Xenopus tropicalis: one gene and its partners. The protein of the gene in region 4 binds, or shares a complex with, the protein of the main gene of each other region. Links are inferred from orthologs where the notes say so. Each region holds a gene or a part of one and is shown on either strand. Other genes may lie near its edges. The genes, in order: lin7a, lin7b, lin7c and apba1.

Evidence for each region.
Region 1: apba1 (region 4) and lin7a share a complex: the UniProt entries of both Homo sapiens proteins name them as parts of the brain-specific heterotrimeric complex. The link is inferred for Xenopus tropicalis from reciprocal best matches to the Homo sapiens genes APBA1 and LIN7A.
Region 2: apba1 (region 4) and lin7b share a complex: the UniProt entries of both Homo sapiens proteins name them as parts of the brain-specific heterotrimeric complex. The link is inferred for Xenopus tropicalis from reciprocal best matches to the Homo sapiens genes APBA1 and LIN7B.
Region 3: apba1 (region 4) and lin7c share a complex: the UniProt entries of both Homo sapiens proteins name them as parts of the brain-specific heterotrimeric complex. The link is inferred for Xenopus tropicalis from reciprocal best matches to the Homo sapiens genes APBA1 and LIN7C.

Annotation. Positions count from the first base shown.
Region 1 is NC_030679.2:52,620,610-52,625,009, reverse strand, and holds the start of lin7a (protein lin-7 homolog A), read left to right. Parts: upstream 1-1,548; 5' UTR 1,549-1,725; intron 1,726-1,987; exon of another isoform or gene 1,988-2,170; coding exon of another isoform or gene 2,171-2,216; intron 2,217-4,400. UniProt on the Homo sapiens protein: Plays a role in establishing and maintaining the asymmetric distribution of channels and receptors at the plasma membrane of polarized cells.
Region 2 is NC_030683.2:118,025,000-118,027,910, reverse strand, and holds part of lin7b (protein lin-7 homolog B), read left to right. Parts: intron 1-2,531; coding exon 2,532-2,741; intron 2,742-2,911. UniProt on the Homo sapiens protein: Plays a role in establishing and maintaining the asymmetric distribution of channels and receptors at the plasma membrane of polarized cells.
Region 3 is NC_030680.2:21,036,391-21,040,901, forward strand, and holds the start of lin7c (protein lin-7 homolog C), read left to right. Parts: upstream 1-1,467; 5' UTR 1,468-1,599; coding exon 1,600-1,636; intron 1,637-4,511. UniProt on the Homo sapiens protein: Plays a role in establishing and maintaining the asymmetric distribution of channels and receptors at the plasma membrane of polarized cells.
Region 4 is NC_030677.2:129,514,639-129,518,546, reverse strand, and holds part of apba1 (amyloid-beta A4 precursor protein-binding family A member 1), read left to right. Parts: intron 1-524; coding exon 525-644; intron 645-3,492; coding exon 3,493-3,633; intron 3,634-3,908. UniProt on the Homo sapiens protein: Putative function in synaptic vesicle exocytosis by binding to Munc18-1, an essential component of the synaptic vesicle exocytotic machinery. May modulate processing of the amyloid-beta precursor protein (APP) and hence formation of APP-beta.

The DNA of each region.
Region 1 (4,400 bases), on a different chromosome or scaffold from region 4:
CAAGAAGTTATAGTGAAATCAGACATTGGACAAAGATCCCAATAGATAGTATTAGATCATGTGGCTTCTGTACCCCTTCCCACAGCCGGCAGCCATATGCAACTAAAGACAGAACCTCTTCTCTTAGTTTTCTATGCAAAGCACATGCAAAGGGAGCTGACAAAGGTGTGTATTTATACCAGGTCCCAAGATAGTGCTAGGAATTTTTAAAGAAGTGCTGTGCAGAATTTATATTAGGTGTGCATGGGCTGCTGAAGATTAAAGGCAGAGCAGCCCTATGACAAAATGCTTACATTTTTTCTTATTTATTTCCCTTTTCATTTGTTTTTAAGTTATCTACCATTAAATATGCACCCGCTTCTCGTCCACTTTTAGTTCAGGCAACTATGGGCAGTTTACATAAGAGGTAGAAAAATGCTATGTAAAAGGGACAGTAACACCAAGAAGAAATAAAAAGAAATTTGTATTTGTTATACTTTTACATTTGTAGAAACTCCAAATATTTTTCTTGGCAGCTGCAGTCTTATTTTGCATAAGAAAGGGTCCTGCGTGCATAGAGCTAGGAATGATGTCAACTCCTGAGGGGGAGGAGGACCCCTCTTTAGGGGAAAAAAGAAGGATTATTTAAACCTCCCATTATAGTGCTGCTTCATTCATATACTGCTGCAATAAAACTATCATACTAATAAACTATAAATATCCATGTGAGAGCTGTAGTCCAGCAACATCATAATTGAAGTCTTAATTTAACAATACCTAATAAAACTTTTCCCCAGCATTTCAGAGCTATCCACTGAATGCAAGATGGTTCTCCAATGGGAACCTTGCCAGTTCCCACTGAGGACATTGCTAAAGGTGTTAAAAAAATATCTTTTTTAACTCCTTAACATTACTAAATGTGCCCTTATGCTGTTTAAATGCCGTGCAATATTGTCAAGAAAGAGTGTTCATTGGAGAGCAGTCTTGCATCTGCAGTTAAGTTTGGTATAGCTACTTTGGAGGGTTGGGGACTGCAAATTGGAACATTTTCAGGAAGTTTTATGTTCCCTTTAATGCTTGCAGTTCATTTGGTATATGCAGAAAAGTGACGAAATAGAAAAGAAAGTCACAGTTGTTCTTAGATCTTTGAAAACTTAGAAAAACATAATTTTTTTAATGCCAGAGATTTGCTATTTTACAAACAAGTTAACATAAAAAACAGAAATAAAATGAAATACAGATTTCCCACTACCCCTGACACTTCTTTGCCAACATGGAGTGTAGAAGTTTCTCTTTATATGAAGAGACAAGCCATATTACTCAGTGCTAAGCATACACAAACACAAAATTCAGCTGCAACAATGTATAAGCGTATCTCTCTTGGGTGCATCTGTTTTCCTAGAACAGCAAAAAGAAACAAAACATACCAGAAGTGAATCTGCAGAAGAACCAAGCTGCTAAATGGTGAGGTCTCCTTTCTTAAACAGTCACTCCCCCAGGCTGACTGCCATTGGGAGGGGCAAGAGGGAGAGGCTGGGGAGGAAAAGTTTAACTGGTTAGATAGGAGAAGAGCCCTCTGCACTCTAGGCTGCTGTCTCTTATAGTAGCCGGCAGAGAGGGAGGTGTTTGCATTTTAATATCACCTTGTGTTCATGCAGCATGCCTCCTACAAGGAAATGAAGACTGAGTAAATATTTGCAAAGAAAACAGGAGCATGTGAAGTGAAAATACCGTGCAAGAGCAACAGTAAAGATGATTTCAATGTAGTGGCTGTATGATTTTGCCATTTTCTGCAGGCAGACTCACAGTATCTGCTATCCTTACCAGAGCTGCAAACCAACCCCATGTCACAAGGGAGATAATGATCCACTTCTGACCTTTTTGAGACCTTATTTCTCATTATCATTTTGTGTCAAGAGGAATTCAGACCTAAAAAAAACAGGACTGAATGATTATCTCCCTGATGACATGGGGTTTGTTGGCAGCTCTGCCTTAAGTTCTGAAACTTTTGTGTACCTTTAATGTTTTGATTTATTTTATTAACTTTATTTACAGCACTTCCTCTTTAAGGAATTCTCTGAAAATTCACTAAAACACACAACAGACCAGAGCCACTACCCCGCACACCTCCTCTTAGGGGGAAGTGTTTTAATATGAACTTTTAACTGTAATTTATAACTGTGCGGACTGCATGCAGCAATGCTTTGTGTCGATCAGAGGGAAGCAGAAAGTGGCAAGTAAGTAGAAGCAAACCAAAAGTTACATGTTACCATCTTTTCTCAGTACCAGGCATGGGCAACCCTAGCTGCAAAGTACAACTTTGATTTTATTACCTTTCACTGCTACAGTAAGCAAATTGTTTTCATTAAATGCAAGACAATAAGCTGAAGATATTACTTATATGCATCAAATAGCCTTTGTAATAAGTATATCCAATGCTGATAAAAATATAAAAACGAGCAATACAGCATTTTTGCAGGCAACTATAAAGGGTTGTCAGCAAAACTGCTTTATAATATGTTGATTGTGCATATAAACAGGAGGCAACCTGTCCAGATAGCTTTGCCTTTCTCTCAACTTTGCCTTTGTTCCCCAGTTTGAACTTTGACTATTATTTGCACAACATATTTAAGTGTTTATTTGGCATACTATATAGAGACTATGGGCCTCGTTTGCAAAAAAAATGGGACAAGGTGCAAAAACAGGCACAAAACTTTCTATTATTTTGCACTTTGCTCTTCATGTTGCACCCTGATCTAAAACTTTGTCCCTTCCAAGAATAAAGTACAAAAACAGGCATACAAAAGGCGCAGATGGATGTGCCCCCTAGTATGTCCCTAGATTTTTGATGCCTCAATATAGCCGGCAATAAGTACAGGAATTCCTTAAGTCTGTGTTAGATGCTTTCTGCAACCATCAATGGCACAGATACACTGACAATGGGAGGTTCAGTGCCGCAAATAGGGGTGGGCAGAAAAGGCACGTGCCTAGGACTGAAAACTATAGACCCGTGAGTCTGGCATCAGTGGGCTTTTAGAAGGGATAAGGGATAGGATACTTGAATACATTGCAAATCACAATACTATAAGTTTGTGCCAGCATGGCTTTATGCGTAACAGTTCTTGCCAGACTAATCTAAATAGCCTTTGATGAGGAGGTGAGCAGGAACCTTGACTCTGGAATGGCAGTGGATGTCATCTACTTGGACTTGGACTGCTGAGGTTAGACTGTCAAGGTTGGGGTTGTTTTCTCTGGAAAAAAGGCGCTTGCGAGGGGACATGATTACTCTGTACAAGTACATTAGAAGGGATTATAGACAGATAGGGGGTTCTTTTTTTCTCATAAAAACAATCAGGGCACCAGAGGCAACCCCTTTAGATTAGAGGAACAGAGCTTCCATTTGAAGCAGTGTAGGTGGTTTTTCACCGTGAGGGCAGTGAGGTTGTGGAATGCTCTTCCGAGTGATGTTGTAATGGCAGATTTCTTGAACAAGCATAATATCCAAGGCTATTGAGATGCTAAAATCTGCAATTAGTATTGATGTTGGTTTATGTATGTGAGTGTATAGATAGGTCAGTATATGTTTGTATGTGCTGGGTTCTCTTGGAAGGGCTGAACTTGTTGGAGGGTGATGGGGGTGATGGAGGGGTTAGGATTGAGGGTTGAAGGTGTTCAGGTGCAGACTTTTAAATTAAAAGTTAGGCCATGGGTTGAGTCTAAAAGGAAAAGAGAATACACATTTTGTAGGTGTTTATGCACTGTGCCAATCTAATCTTACTTTGAATTGACAGAATTCCACTTTGACTATGGCTTGCGCTGAACATATTATTGCCTGTTGTCACAAAAACTTTATGGTCCTTCTTATTTCTTGAACTAAACTGATAATCTGCTCCATGTTTGGTCCTTTCATACATAATTGAATTACCAGTATACAACCCCCTTTCTACCCCCTGGTGTTTCCTTTGGTGTTGTTAGCAAGAATCCATTATGCACTTATCTGTGCACTAGTAATCTAATTATCTAATCTAAAGGCTGCACTGGAAGAGCCAAAGCCCATGGCCAGCCCCAATGCTGTTGGTCTGGAAGAAGGATGGGAAACATATTCCCTGTATTTGATCATTCCTTATCAACCCTGAGGCACTCAAGTGTACTTTTTACCTGTGTAGCAACAGCCAGTGGCTATTAGCAGGTAGCAGTCAGGAAGGAGAACAGCCAAAGACGGCCTTTATTACATCCATAGACCTGTTTGCATTTAATTGGATGTCATTTTAGCCTGACCTATTTCCCCAGTTCTTTCCAAAGATTAAAGAAAGAGTGACATAGGTCAAGCAGTAAGAACATGGCCCCATTGCAACCGGAGTCTCCTATGTCCCTCTCCTGCCAACACTTCTGGATAGAGTTCTGGCCAGTGCAAACAGCGC
Region 2 (2,911 bases), on a different chromosome or scaffold from region 4:
ATACTGACTAAAAAAACCTTTGCCACTGTTTCCTTTTATTCACGCTAAGCTACGCGGCACCAAGTTATATTGAGCAATTTCATATACAGTGGAAGAAATAATTATTTGACCCCTCACTGATTTTGTAAGTTTGTCCAATGACAAAGAAATGAAAAGTCTCAGAACAGTATCATTTCAATGGTAGGTTTATTTTAACAGTGGCAGATAGCACATCAAAAGGAAAATCGAAAAAATAACTTTAAATAAAAGATAGCAACTGATTTGCATTTCATTGAGTGAAATAAGTTTTTGAACCCCTACCAACCATTAAGAGTTCTGGCTCCCACAGAGTGGTTAGACACTTCTACTCAATTAGTCAACCTCATTAAGGACACCTGTCTTAACTAGTCACCTGTATAAAAGACACCTGTCCACAGAATCAATCAATCAAGCAGACTCCAAACTCTCCAACATGGGAAAGACCAAAGAGCTGTCCAAGGATGTCAGAGACAAAATTGTAGACCTGCACAAGGCTGGAATGGGCTACAAAACCATTAGCAAGAAGCTGGGAGAGAAGGTGACAACTGTTGGTGCGATTGTTCGAAAATGGAAGGAGCACAAAATGACCATCAATCGACCTCGCTCTGGGGCTCCACGCAAGATCTCACCTCGTGGGGTGTCAATGATTCTGAGAAAGGTGAAAAAGCATCCTAGAACTACACGGGAGGAGTTAGTTAATGACCTCAAATTAGCAGGGACCACAGTCACCAAGAAAACCATTGGAAACACATTACACCGCAATGGATTAAAATCCTGCAGGGCTCGCAAGGTCCCCCTGCTCAAGAAGGCACATGTGCAGGCCCGTCTGAAGTTTGCCAATGAACACCTGAATGATTCTGTGAGTGACTGGGAGAAGGTGCTGTGGTCTGATGAGACCAAAATAGAGCTCTTTGGCATTAACTCAACTCGCTGTGTTTGGAGGAAGAAAAATGCTGCCTATGACCCCCAAAACACCGTCCCCACCGTCAAGCATGGGGGTGGAAACATTTTGCTTTGGGGGTGTTTTTCTGCTAAGGGCACAGGACAACTTATTCGCATTAACGGGAAAATGGACGGAGCCATGTATCGTGAAATCCTGAACGACAACCTCCTTCCCTCTGCCAGGAAACTGAAAATGGGTTGTGGATGGGTGTTCCAGCACGACAATGACCCAAAACATACAGCAAAGGCAACAAAGGAGTGGCTCAAAAAGAAGCACATTAAGGTCATGGAGTGGCCTAGTCAGTCTCCGGACCTTAATCCAATAGAAAACCTATGGAGGGAGCTCAAGCTCAGAGTTGCACAGAGACAGAAACCTTAGGGATTTAGAGATGATCTGCAAAGAGGAGTGGACCAACATTCCTCCTAAAATGTGCGCAAACTTGGTCATCAATTACAAGAAACGTTTGACCTCTGTGCTTGCAAACAAGGGTTTTTCCACTAAGTATTAAGTCTTTTTTTGTTAGAGGGTTCAAAAACTTATTTCACTCAATGAAATGCAAATCAGTTGCTATCTTTTATTTAAAGTTATTTTTTCGATTTTCCTTTTGATGTGCTATCTGCCACTGTTAAAATAAACCTACCATTGAAATGATACTGTTCTGAGACTTTTCATTTCTTTGTCATTGGACAAACTTACAAAATCAGTGAGGGGTCAAATAATTATTTCCTCCACTGTATAGTTTAAAAACAGTTTCCTTTGTGAATCTAAAACTGCCCATACACTTTGATATGTGTCTGATTTTTGCCCGATTTGGCCACCCTTGCCTTTGGCCAATTCTGGCTGATCCGATCATTGACCCAGGTACCAATTATTAAATCAGACTACAAGACTACTGATAACATGTTGGATAATCGGTGAATTGATGCAGGCCTTGCCCAGCCAGATATTGATTGGAAAGGCAGTCGGGGGGCCCCATACAAAGGGCAATAAGCTGTTTACTCTTATGGAGTCCCTGGAGGCAGGGCCCAAAGTGCACAGGCAAGTGGAACAAGCAAAGTGGTATTGGCACCCAAGGCAGTACTGTTTGACATAGCACCCTGCCTGCTGGTTCACATGTCCCCTTACATCCTTCATGCCTGTGGTAGGTCCACAAAGCACTAACCAACCAGCCCACCGTGGCTCATTCGCTGTGGCCCCCTGCCACGTTTCACTCTCTTACCCTCTAATTGCACCCACCCTATTGTACCCAGGGCAAGTGCCTCCACTACCTACCATCAAAAAGTGTTGGTGAGTCACACAAGCATGAAAAATTTATTTGGGGATGCCAAATAAGGGCTGTGATTGGATATTTGGTAGCCCCATGTGACTGCTAGCATGCAGGAGGTTCTGCTGTTTGACCTACGCCCCCTTTCCCTCATAGCTTTAGGCATGTCACCCCTGAAAAGGTTATCCTCCCAACTTTCTTCTATATCACATTTGCAGTAAGGCACAACAAGGTTTTGTTTTCAAAGATTATTTCAATAATTTGCCCTTAGGGATTGAGTTTTCTTTAAATTCATATTATTTTCAGGCCACCGTGGCAGCTTTTGCGGCAAGTGAAGGACATGCCCACCCTAGAGTGGTTGAGCTCCCTAAAACTGATGAAGGTCTGGGATTTAACATCATGGGAGGAAAAGAGCAGAATTCCCCCATTTATATCTCTCGAATTATCCCTGGTGGGGTGGCAGATCGTCACGGAGGACTCAAACGTGGGGACCAGCTTCTTTCTGTTAACGGGGTGGTGAGTAATTTATGGACCTTTATGTTTCCAAACCTGTTGAAGACCATGATATAGCCTCAACCTATTGAATCTACTTTTTCCATTTGTTGCCACCACTTAGAAATTTTACATTGTGTTTACCTTTAATTTGCTTACGCAGATAGTAATTATAAAGGTAGAACATATTCTGT
Region 3 (4,511 bases), on a different chromosome or scaffold from region 4:
CCTTCCAGCCCTCAACTTCTCCATTCCACCAGTACACCAGGCCCCCCTGAAGCCCTCCCCTTCTCCCTTTCTGCAGAGTCCTGTTCCCCTTGCAGCCCTCACCTCCTGCATTTGCCCCCAGTGCTATTCCCTTTGCAGCCCTCACCTCCTGCATTTGTCCCCAGTGCTATTCCCCTTGCAGTCCTTACATCCTACCATTCCCCCCAGTGCTATTCCCCTTGCAGCCCTCACCTCCTGCATTTGCCCCCAGTGCTATTACCCTTGCAGCCCTCACGTCCTGCATTTGCCCCCAGTGCTATTCCCCTTGCAGCCCTTACCTCCTACCATTCCCCCAGTGCTACTCCCCTTGCAGCCCTCACGTCCTGCATTTGCCCCCAGTGCTATTCCCCTTGCAGCCCTTACCTCCTACCATTCCCCCAGTGCTATTCCCCTTGCAGCCCTCACCTCCTGCATTTGCTCCCAGTGCTATTCCCCTTGCAGCCCTTACCTCCTACCATTCCCCCAGTGCTATTCCCCTTGCAGCCCTCACCTCCTGCATTTGCTCCCAGTGCTATTCCCCTTGCAGCCCTTACCTCCTACCATTCCCCCAGTGCTATTCCCCTTGCAGCCCTCACCTCCTGCATTTCTCCCCAGTGCTATTCCCCTTGCACCCCTTACCTCCTACCATTCCCCCAGTGCTATTCCCCTTGCAGCCCTCACCTCCTGCATTTGCCCCCAGTGCTATTCCCCTTGCAGCCCTCACCTCCTGCATTTGCCCCCAGTGCTATTCCCCTTGCAGCCCTCACCTCCTGCATTTGCCCCCAGTGCTATTCCCCTTGCAGCCCTCACCTCCTGCATTTGCTCCCAGTGCTATTCCCCTTGCAACCCTCACCTCCTGCATTTGCTCCCAGTGCTATTCCCCTTGCAGCCCTTACCTCCTACCATTCCCCCAGTGCTATTCCCTTCGCAGTCCCACCGTCTCCCTTTATCCCAGTACAATTTCCCTGGCAGTGCCACCTTCTCCCTCTCCCCCAGCACAGTCCCCTTTGCAGCGCTCACCTTCACCCTTTCCCTACACACCCCCCCCCCATTCAATTCCCTTAGCAGCCCCATTTCTCCCTGTTTAATTCCCTTTACATTTTCATTTTCTTTCTTTCCCAGTTCAATTCCCTTAGCAGTCCCATAATTCTCCCTTTGCCCCAGTACAATTCCCTTACAGTCCCCTGTAGCCTTCAGCTCTTCCCCCCGGTGCATTAAGCCCTACAGGCAGCCTCACTAACACACACCCCCACAGCAGCCCTCAGTCCGACGAAGCAGTCACTAATCAGCTCCTATTCCCACTGAGCGCCAATCCTGCACTAGCAGGCCCCACCCCTCTCTCCCCGCCCCCGTTCTAGCGCTTTTCCCGCTCCCCTGTGTCACTAGTAGGGACCCCGGCAGTAGCACCGGTGGTAGCCCAGGCAGTAGGCAAGGCAGTAGTATTAGGAGTGGGGCTGGCGGCTAGACACGCCCTCACATGACCTCACTTCCTGCTTCGCACATTTGGTCATGTGACGGTGACATCACGACCTGCTGCAAGCCATTGGGTTTTACTATCTAGCGTTGTGTGTAGGAAAGAAGATGGCTGCTGTGGGAGAGCCCATTCGCTTGGAGAGAGGTGAGGGGCAGTAGCAGCGGGTCGGTAGGCTGAGAGAGTGGGGGGGGGTGCCGAGGGGATACAGAGCAGTGTGAGCGCCGCCACTGTGTGTGTATTGTATCTGTCAGTATCTGCCCCCCCCCTGTATAATCCCCTGTATAATCCCCCTGGCACTGATCCGCCCCCCCCCCCCCCAGTGACTGGGGTTCCCTTACAGTCCCACTCCTTCTGCCATTAGAGTGTTAGCTGTGAGGCCCAGGGCCCTACCTGCCGGCTGTATGTGCCAGTACTGGGAGGAGTGTGTATGTTTGGTACAGGCTGCTCACTTGTACTTTATAAATATGTCAACAATAATAGTAATCTATTTGCCCTGTCACTGAGATTTACTCTCTGTCTTATTAACCCATTTTGTTCCTTAAATATGTACCCTGCCCCCCCCCTCTCCTGGCACTTTGTACCCATCGCCCCCACACTGGCGCTTTGTACCCATCGCCCCCACACTGGCGCTTTGTACCCATCGCCCCCACACTGGCGCTTTGTACCCATCGCCCCCACACTGGCGCTTTGTACCCATCGCCCCCACACTGGCGCTTTGTACCCATCGCCCCCACACTGGCGCTTTGTACCCATCGCCCCCACACTGGCGCTTTGTACCCATCGCCCCCACACTGGCGCTTTGTACCCATCGCCCCCACACTGGCACTTGCCTAAAGGGGACGGATAGGTGAAATCACAGGGGGTCAATTTGCCCGTAGAGGTGCCACCTTCTTCCCCTAAGTCTTACTGGCCTGTGCCCCTAGGGAGGCAACTGGTGATGTGATGGAGGCGGGGTGTGGGCGGATCAGGGGCGGGGTGTGGGCGGATCAGGGGTGGGGTGTGGGCGGATCAGGGATGGGGTGTGGGCGGATCAGGGATGGGGTGTGGGCGGATCAGGGTGGGATGTGGGCGGATCAGGGGTGTGGTGTGAGCGGATCAGGGATGGGGTGTGGGCGGATCAGGGATGGAATATAGGCGGATAAGGGTGGGATGTGGGCAGATCAGGGGTGTGGTGTAGGCGGATCAGGGGTGTGGTGTAGGCGGATCAGAGGCGGGAGGAGAGCTGCTTACAGAGAACAGTTCTGAGTGCAAATAAATAAGTATCTCAGAGAAAACTTTAAGAAAGTGGAGGTTTACAAGTTGTCCCGCAGTTACGTTGCCTGTAAATTTGTAACATCGGCTCTAGGTGGTAGTTTGCCGGCTAGGCCTTTAAATTCCTGTCCAGGTGGCAGCCCTAGCCCTAGTTGCCCCATACACAGGCCCATAAGCTGCTGACCCCATGGTATTCCTATAATACAGGTGCTGGCGCTGATACTGGGGATCACAGGAGACTCAGGAGCATGAATCCTGCCTCAAAGCTGGGACTGTACTGGCTTTAGGGCAGGGCTGGGAGGCCACAAACACACACATCCACATGTGTATATATATATATATATATATATATATATATTTATAAAAGAAAAAAAAACAGACTTGCTGGTAAAATTAACTAAATGGTTTAGCAGAAAGGACATTCCACAGGGAGTAATTTCTCATTCTCTTCATAATAATATCCAATAATTGTTCTCAGTAGCGTCCAAATCTCAGTCTTCATGATTGATAACTGATATCTGTTAGTGCTTTTAGAATTGCTGTCTTGCCATGCTGGGGTCCTGGTACTGGTTTTCAGTAGGACAATATCTGTGTGTAGTTTGTATGGTCTTCTATGGTCATGGAAGCTCTATGGGGCAGGGATCCTACTGTATCTTATACCACATGGCATCTCTGTGTAGTTATACTTATTTATAGGTATATATTTATAACACTTGTCCTCCCTGTGTGTAATTGTTAGGCTGTGCTGTACAATCTATCTTGTTTATACATTATCATTAACATTTGGTGGAGCTTTATACCTAATTGTGGAAGGTGCAGCTATTCCCCTTTTTTGTTCTAACACTTTATATAGTTATACATCTATACATTGACTCTAGTACAGAGGGCCCACCCACCTCAAATGTTATAGAGCCATATATAATGTAGATTGAATAAACCCCCCCACAACCAAACCTTACATGCTTTGTGCCAATAGGAAAACTGTGCTGCATTATCCCAAGGAGCACATGTACGTAGGGGGGGGGGGGGGGGGGGGTAGAAAAACCAGTTTCCCTGATGCTATAGGCAAGTATTTTGGCAATGTTATGTTTTTCTGCATTGCGTACAGTGTTTTTCCGGATGAGTTCACGCAGTTTTGGCCTATAGATGTTTAGTTAAAAAGTAAAAAAAATGTTTTTGTGTCTGTGTGTAGATAGAGAGATAGACAGAGAGATATATATATAGAGAGAGATATAGAGAGGTAAATAGAGAGAGAGAGATACAGGGAGAGAAATATATATAGAGAGAGATGGATAGATTGATAGAGAGATAGATAGATGAATAGATGATAGATGGATATGATAGATAGATGGATATGATAGATAGATGGATATGATAGATGGATGGATATGATAGATAGATGGATAGAGAGATAGATAGATAGATGAATAGATGATAAATGGATATGATAGATAGATGATGGATATGATAGATAGAGAGATAGATAGATAGAGAGATAGATAGAGAGATAGATGAATAGATGATAAATGGATATGATAGATAGATGATGGATATGATAGATAGAGAGATAGATAGATAGAGAGATAGATGAATAGATGATAAATGGATATGATAGATAGATAGATGATGGATATGATAGATAGATAGATAGAGATGATAGATAGAGAGAAGAGAGAGAGATAGAAAATGGAGAAGGGCAGGTGCTGAAAAGGATTAAAACCTCTCTATTTGCCACTAAACTAATAATGTTTTTCCCTTAAGGGCGATG
Region 4 (3,908 bases):
ACCCTTAATAATGTTGCATGTGCGCTGGAGATTGAATTTTGTCATCTGAATTATAAATTTGTAATTTTCTGCTCCGATGCACTGCTTACTCACGGTAACTTTATGGCAGTTGGCATGAACACATTAGGGGTATATATAAATGTTAGTAAAAGAAATGCCATATTTATAAATAGTTGTTCTTAAAGGAGATTAAAGTTAACTGCTAGTATGTTATAGAATGTCATATTCTCAGCAACATTTCATTTGGTCTTCTTTTTTTCTTATATTTTTTTTTTTTTATGATTTGATCCTCTTCTGCCTTTTTCCAGCTTTCAAATGAGTATCACTAACCCCAGCAGCAAAAAAAACTGTGAAGATACAATTGTACAGTTATTACTTATCTTTCTGTTTAAGCCTCTTCCATTGATCTTTCAGTCTCTCATTCACAAGGGTAAATTCAGTTCTAGCAACCAGCAATTTTGTCCAAAACCGCTCTATCTACCTGTATAGAAAAAGACTGAAAATTCACTTTTTTTTCTTTGAAGGGATTGAAAAACCAGTCCCGTGTGAAGTTGAACATTGTGAGGTGCCCCCCAGTTACCACAGTCTTAATCAGGAGGCCTGACCTACGATATCAGCTTGGCTTCAGTGTACAGAATGGCATTGTAAGTGACTCTGGGTGCATAAATAATTGATATTGATGTGGGTTTTCCTTTTAATGGCCTAAATAAAAATATACTCTGCGTTAAGTATAGACAATGACAATATCAAGAGATGGTTGAGTAAGAATATCAGCTGCCCAGAAACTTACACCTAACAAGGACAAGCTGTAATGGCAAATGAGAAATTAATTGCATTCTCTTACTTATGATTATAATTATTTTTGTATAATTGATTAATAATATGATCATTTACATTTAGATTGCCAAGATCCTTTTTTGAGTGTAAGTTGCTTAAGCAGTTAGTCAAGTAAGAAATGATATAGAGACTTGATTCTGATAACCAATCAAGAAGGAGGTTTAGTAATGTTTATGGGCAGGGGGGCACAGGATTGTTTATATCTGTTTGTATCACCTATATATATAGGTATATATATATATATAACTTACACTGAGACTTTCTGGCTCTAAATTATTCACTCTAACAATTGGCTATTATTTTAGTTTTATTTCCAGTGTAATAAAGGAAAAACTGCTTAGTGAAAAGCAAATAATTTCCCTTTTCTCTGTAGTAATAAAACAATACCTTGTACTTGATGGTTACTAATCTGCAAGAATCCTACTGGGTTAATTTAATGTCTTAATGATTAAGATACAATGACCCAAATTACAGAATGATCCCTTCTCTACACACCAGTCTCAAGCATTCCAGATAACAGATCCCATACCATTAATGCGTTTTAAACAACATTATTTTCAGTCTGTAATGGCCAAGTGTCAACCAGACCGGCCTGCCTGACTGATATCTGACTGAAAATCAGCCAGATATTGATTGAGCAGGTTTGATTTTACCATCAAGTTGAGGACCACATCAGCATGTTTATGCAGTCCTTGTCCCAACAGCCTGCATAGCTTCAATTGTGATCCAACTGTTTGCCCTTCCTGATATTGCCCACCTCAAGGCAGCCTTGCCAAACAAGCAGATCCTTACATGTATGGCCAGCGAAAGAGCAATGCTGCCCAAGTTCCAGCATAGTGGGCAAAACAAATTAAATCAATTAAGTTATTATAGGCTTCTCCTGTGGAGGGACATTTTGGCTTTGTTGCGGGCGATGAAAATCACTTAGTAGGTCTAGACTGGACCTCCAGCAGAAAAGCCCTGTTTTGGAATATTGTTTAGAAAGTGGCAAACACTATATTTTTGTTAATTCATGGCCAAAATATTAAATAAGTTACCATATGCTCTTGGGGATAATTCATTTTCTGTGTAAGAAAAGTAACTAAAATTGCATAAATAATTGCATCCCCAAGTTAGATTTGTAACTCTCTAAGGACTGTAAATAACAATTGGCATTGTCAGACAGGGTACTTCACTGATTCATATTACAAGCTGTGATGGTCGAAGAGGGTTATTTTCACTGCCAGTGATCCTGTCCATAGTTGAAGCCAGCCAGAGTGTCAGCAGCTTTGGCAGGTCCCTGCTGCCACCAATGACCACAGATTATTAAAAATATAAGTTGTTCCCTGAATATGTTTTATTGTTGGAAAGCAAGAACCCTCTATCCACACCACTCTGTGGCAATGTCCTGCCTAACGAGAGCAAGCATGTGTATTATAGAAAAGCATCTCTTTAGCAGGTAGAAGAGACCTTCAGGGTTGTAGATTTCTGTTTACTGACAATATTCCAAGGTGAGGGCGTCATTTCTAACATGAGTGGGTTTTCATTAGGTAGCAGCTGAGGAGAATAATGGCTCAGCATATAGAGGTCGTTGCAGTCTTTGATGTTTCAGCATGGTTAAAGGTTTCAGTTTATTTGCATAGAAATAAGAATTTCAGTAGTTTTTAAATCACCACACAGGAGCAAGAGATATAGGGGATCATTTATGTACACAAGGCAGTGGCACAACTACCTATCAGCTGTCCCTTAAACCACAGGGGACCCAGAAAAGGATCCATATCCCCATGGAATCTTCCAACCATGCTGTCAGATCCATATGCTCATAGGGCCAGGAGAGAGGGGGTACAGTGGGGTAACTATGATACAGCAGACACAAGGGGGACCCCAATCAGTCATAGCGTCTTCTCTACGGTGCCAGTACTAACTGGGTTTGGCCCAGGGCCTAGGATCAGCAGACGCAGCAAGTGGGGACCCAAATTTTTATTACTCACAAGTTAGTGGAAGGCCCCAGTTATGCTGGAATTATGGGAGAGGAAAGCTTATGGGGAAAAAAACTTGGCAATGTGCAGATGGAGATTTAATATTGAACTGCTGTGTAAATGGGCTCTGTGATCCCTGAAGATGTTCCTTTCTTGGATATTCAGCATGGTTGCCATTTTTTAATGATGTTCTCTCTCAAAACAGATTGTGTACTATCAATCTTTTAACTGGGAATATAAAATGTAGATGCGTATTTATATGTATTTTTGAGAGATTCTTCTGACTACACAGTTTTAAAGGGAAACTGTCATTATTGGAAAAACATAAAATATTTAAATCTGCAAGAAATTGTAGTAAATTGTCAAATCTGTTTTGCAGAAGATTCTTTATTATATTTCTCATGAATACCGTGCTGCTGAATGCAGGCAGCAATGTATTCATAGGAGAGGCACAGTTCATGTGTCTATGGACATTAAGCGTGGGTCAGGGTGTAAAGTGGAAAAAACATTGCAGTTTTCTGAGCTTTTTTTTTTTTTTTTTTTGCACTTTCTACCCTGTGCTTTTAAATGAACCCCTTAAATTTCTAATTAATTTCTCAAATCTCGGTGAGAAAGTTTCCTGCAATGTTGGCAAATGTTTAGACATTTTATAAGCTTAGTGCCATTATCTAATGAAATGGAGACCAATTTATTGCAGATCTGCAGCCTTATGCGAGGTGGCATAGCAGAGCGAGGAGGAGTGAGAGTCGGACATCGCATCATTGAGATCAACGGACAAAGTGTTGTAGCAACTCCCCATGAGAAGATAGTTCATATTCTTTCCAATGCAGTTGGTGAGGTAAGTTATTTGGTCTCGTGAAGTCAGTCATTTCAGTACTGCAAATTGTTTATGCATGAAAATATTACATTACTAGTGGTCTGTAGTCAGACTAACAGGTGGTGCACAGAACCTCACAAGCCAATATCTTTCTATAATCATGGCCAGAAATATTGACACATTTGTAGTTTTTTTCAGATAATGCACCATTTCTTCCAATTGTTGAAAATAATTCATTCTCACTTTTCACTTATGTATTTGTTTATTTCATTGGAACAAAACAAAAAAGGATTGTT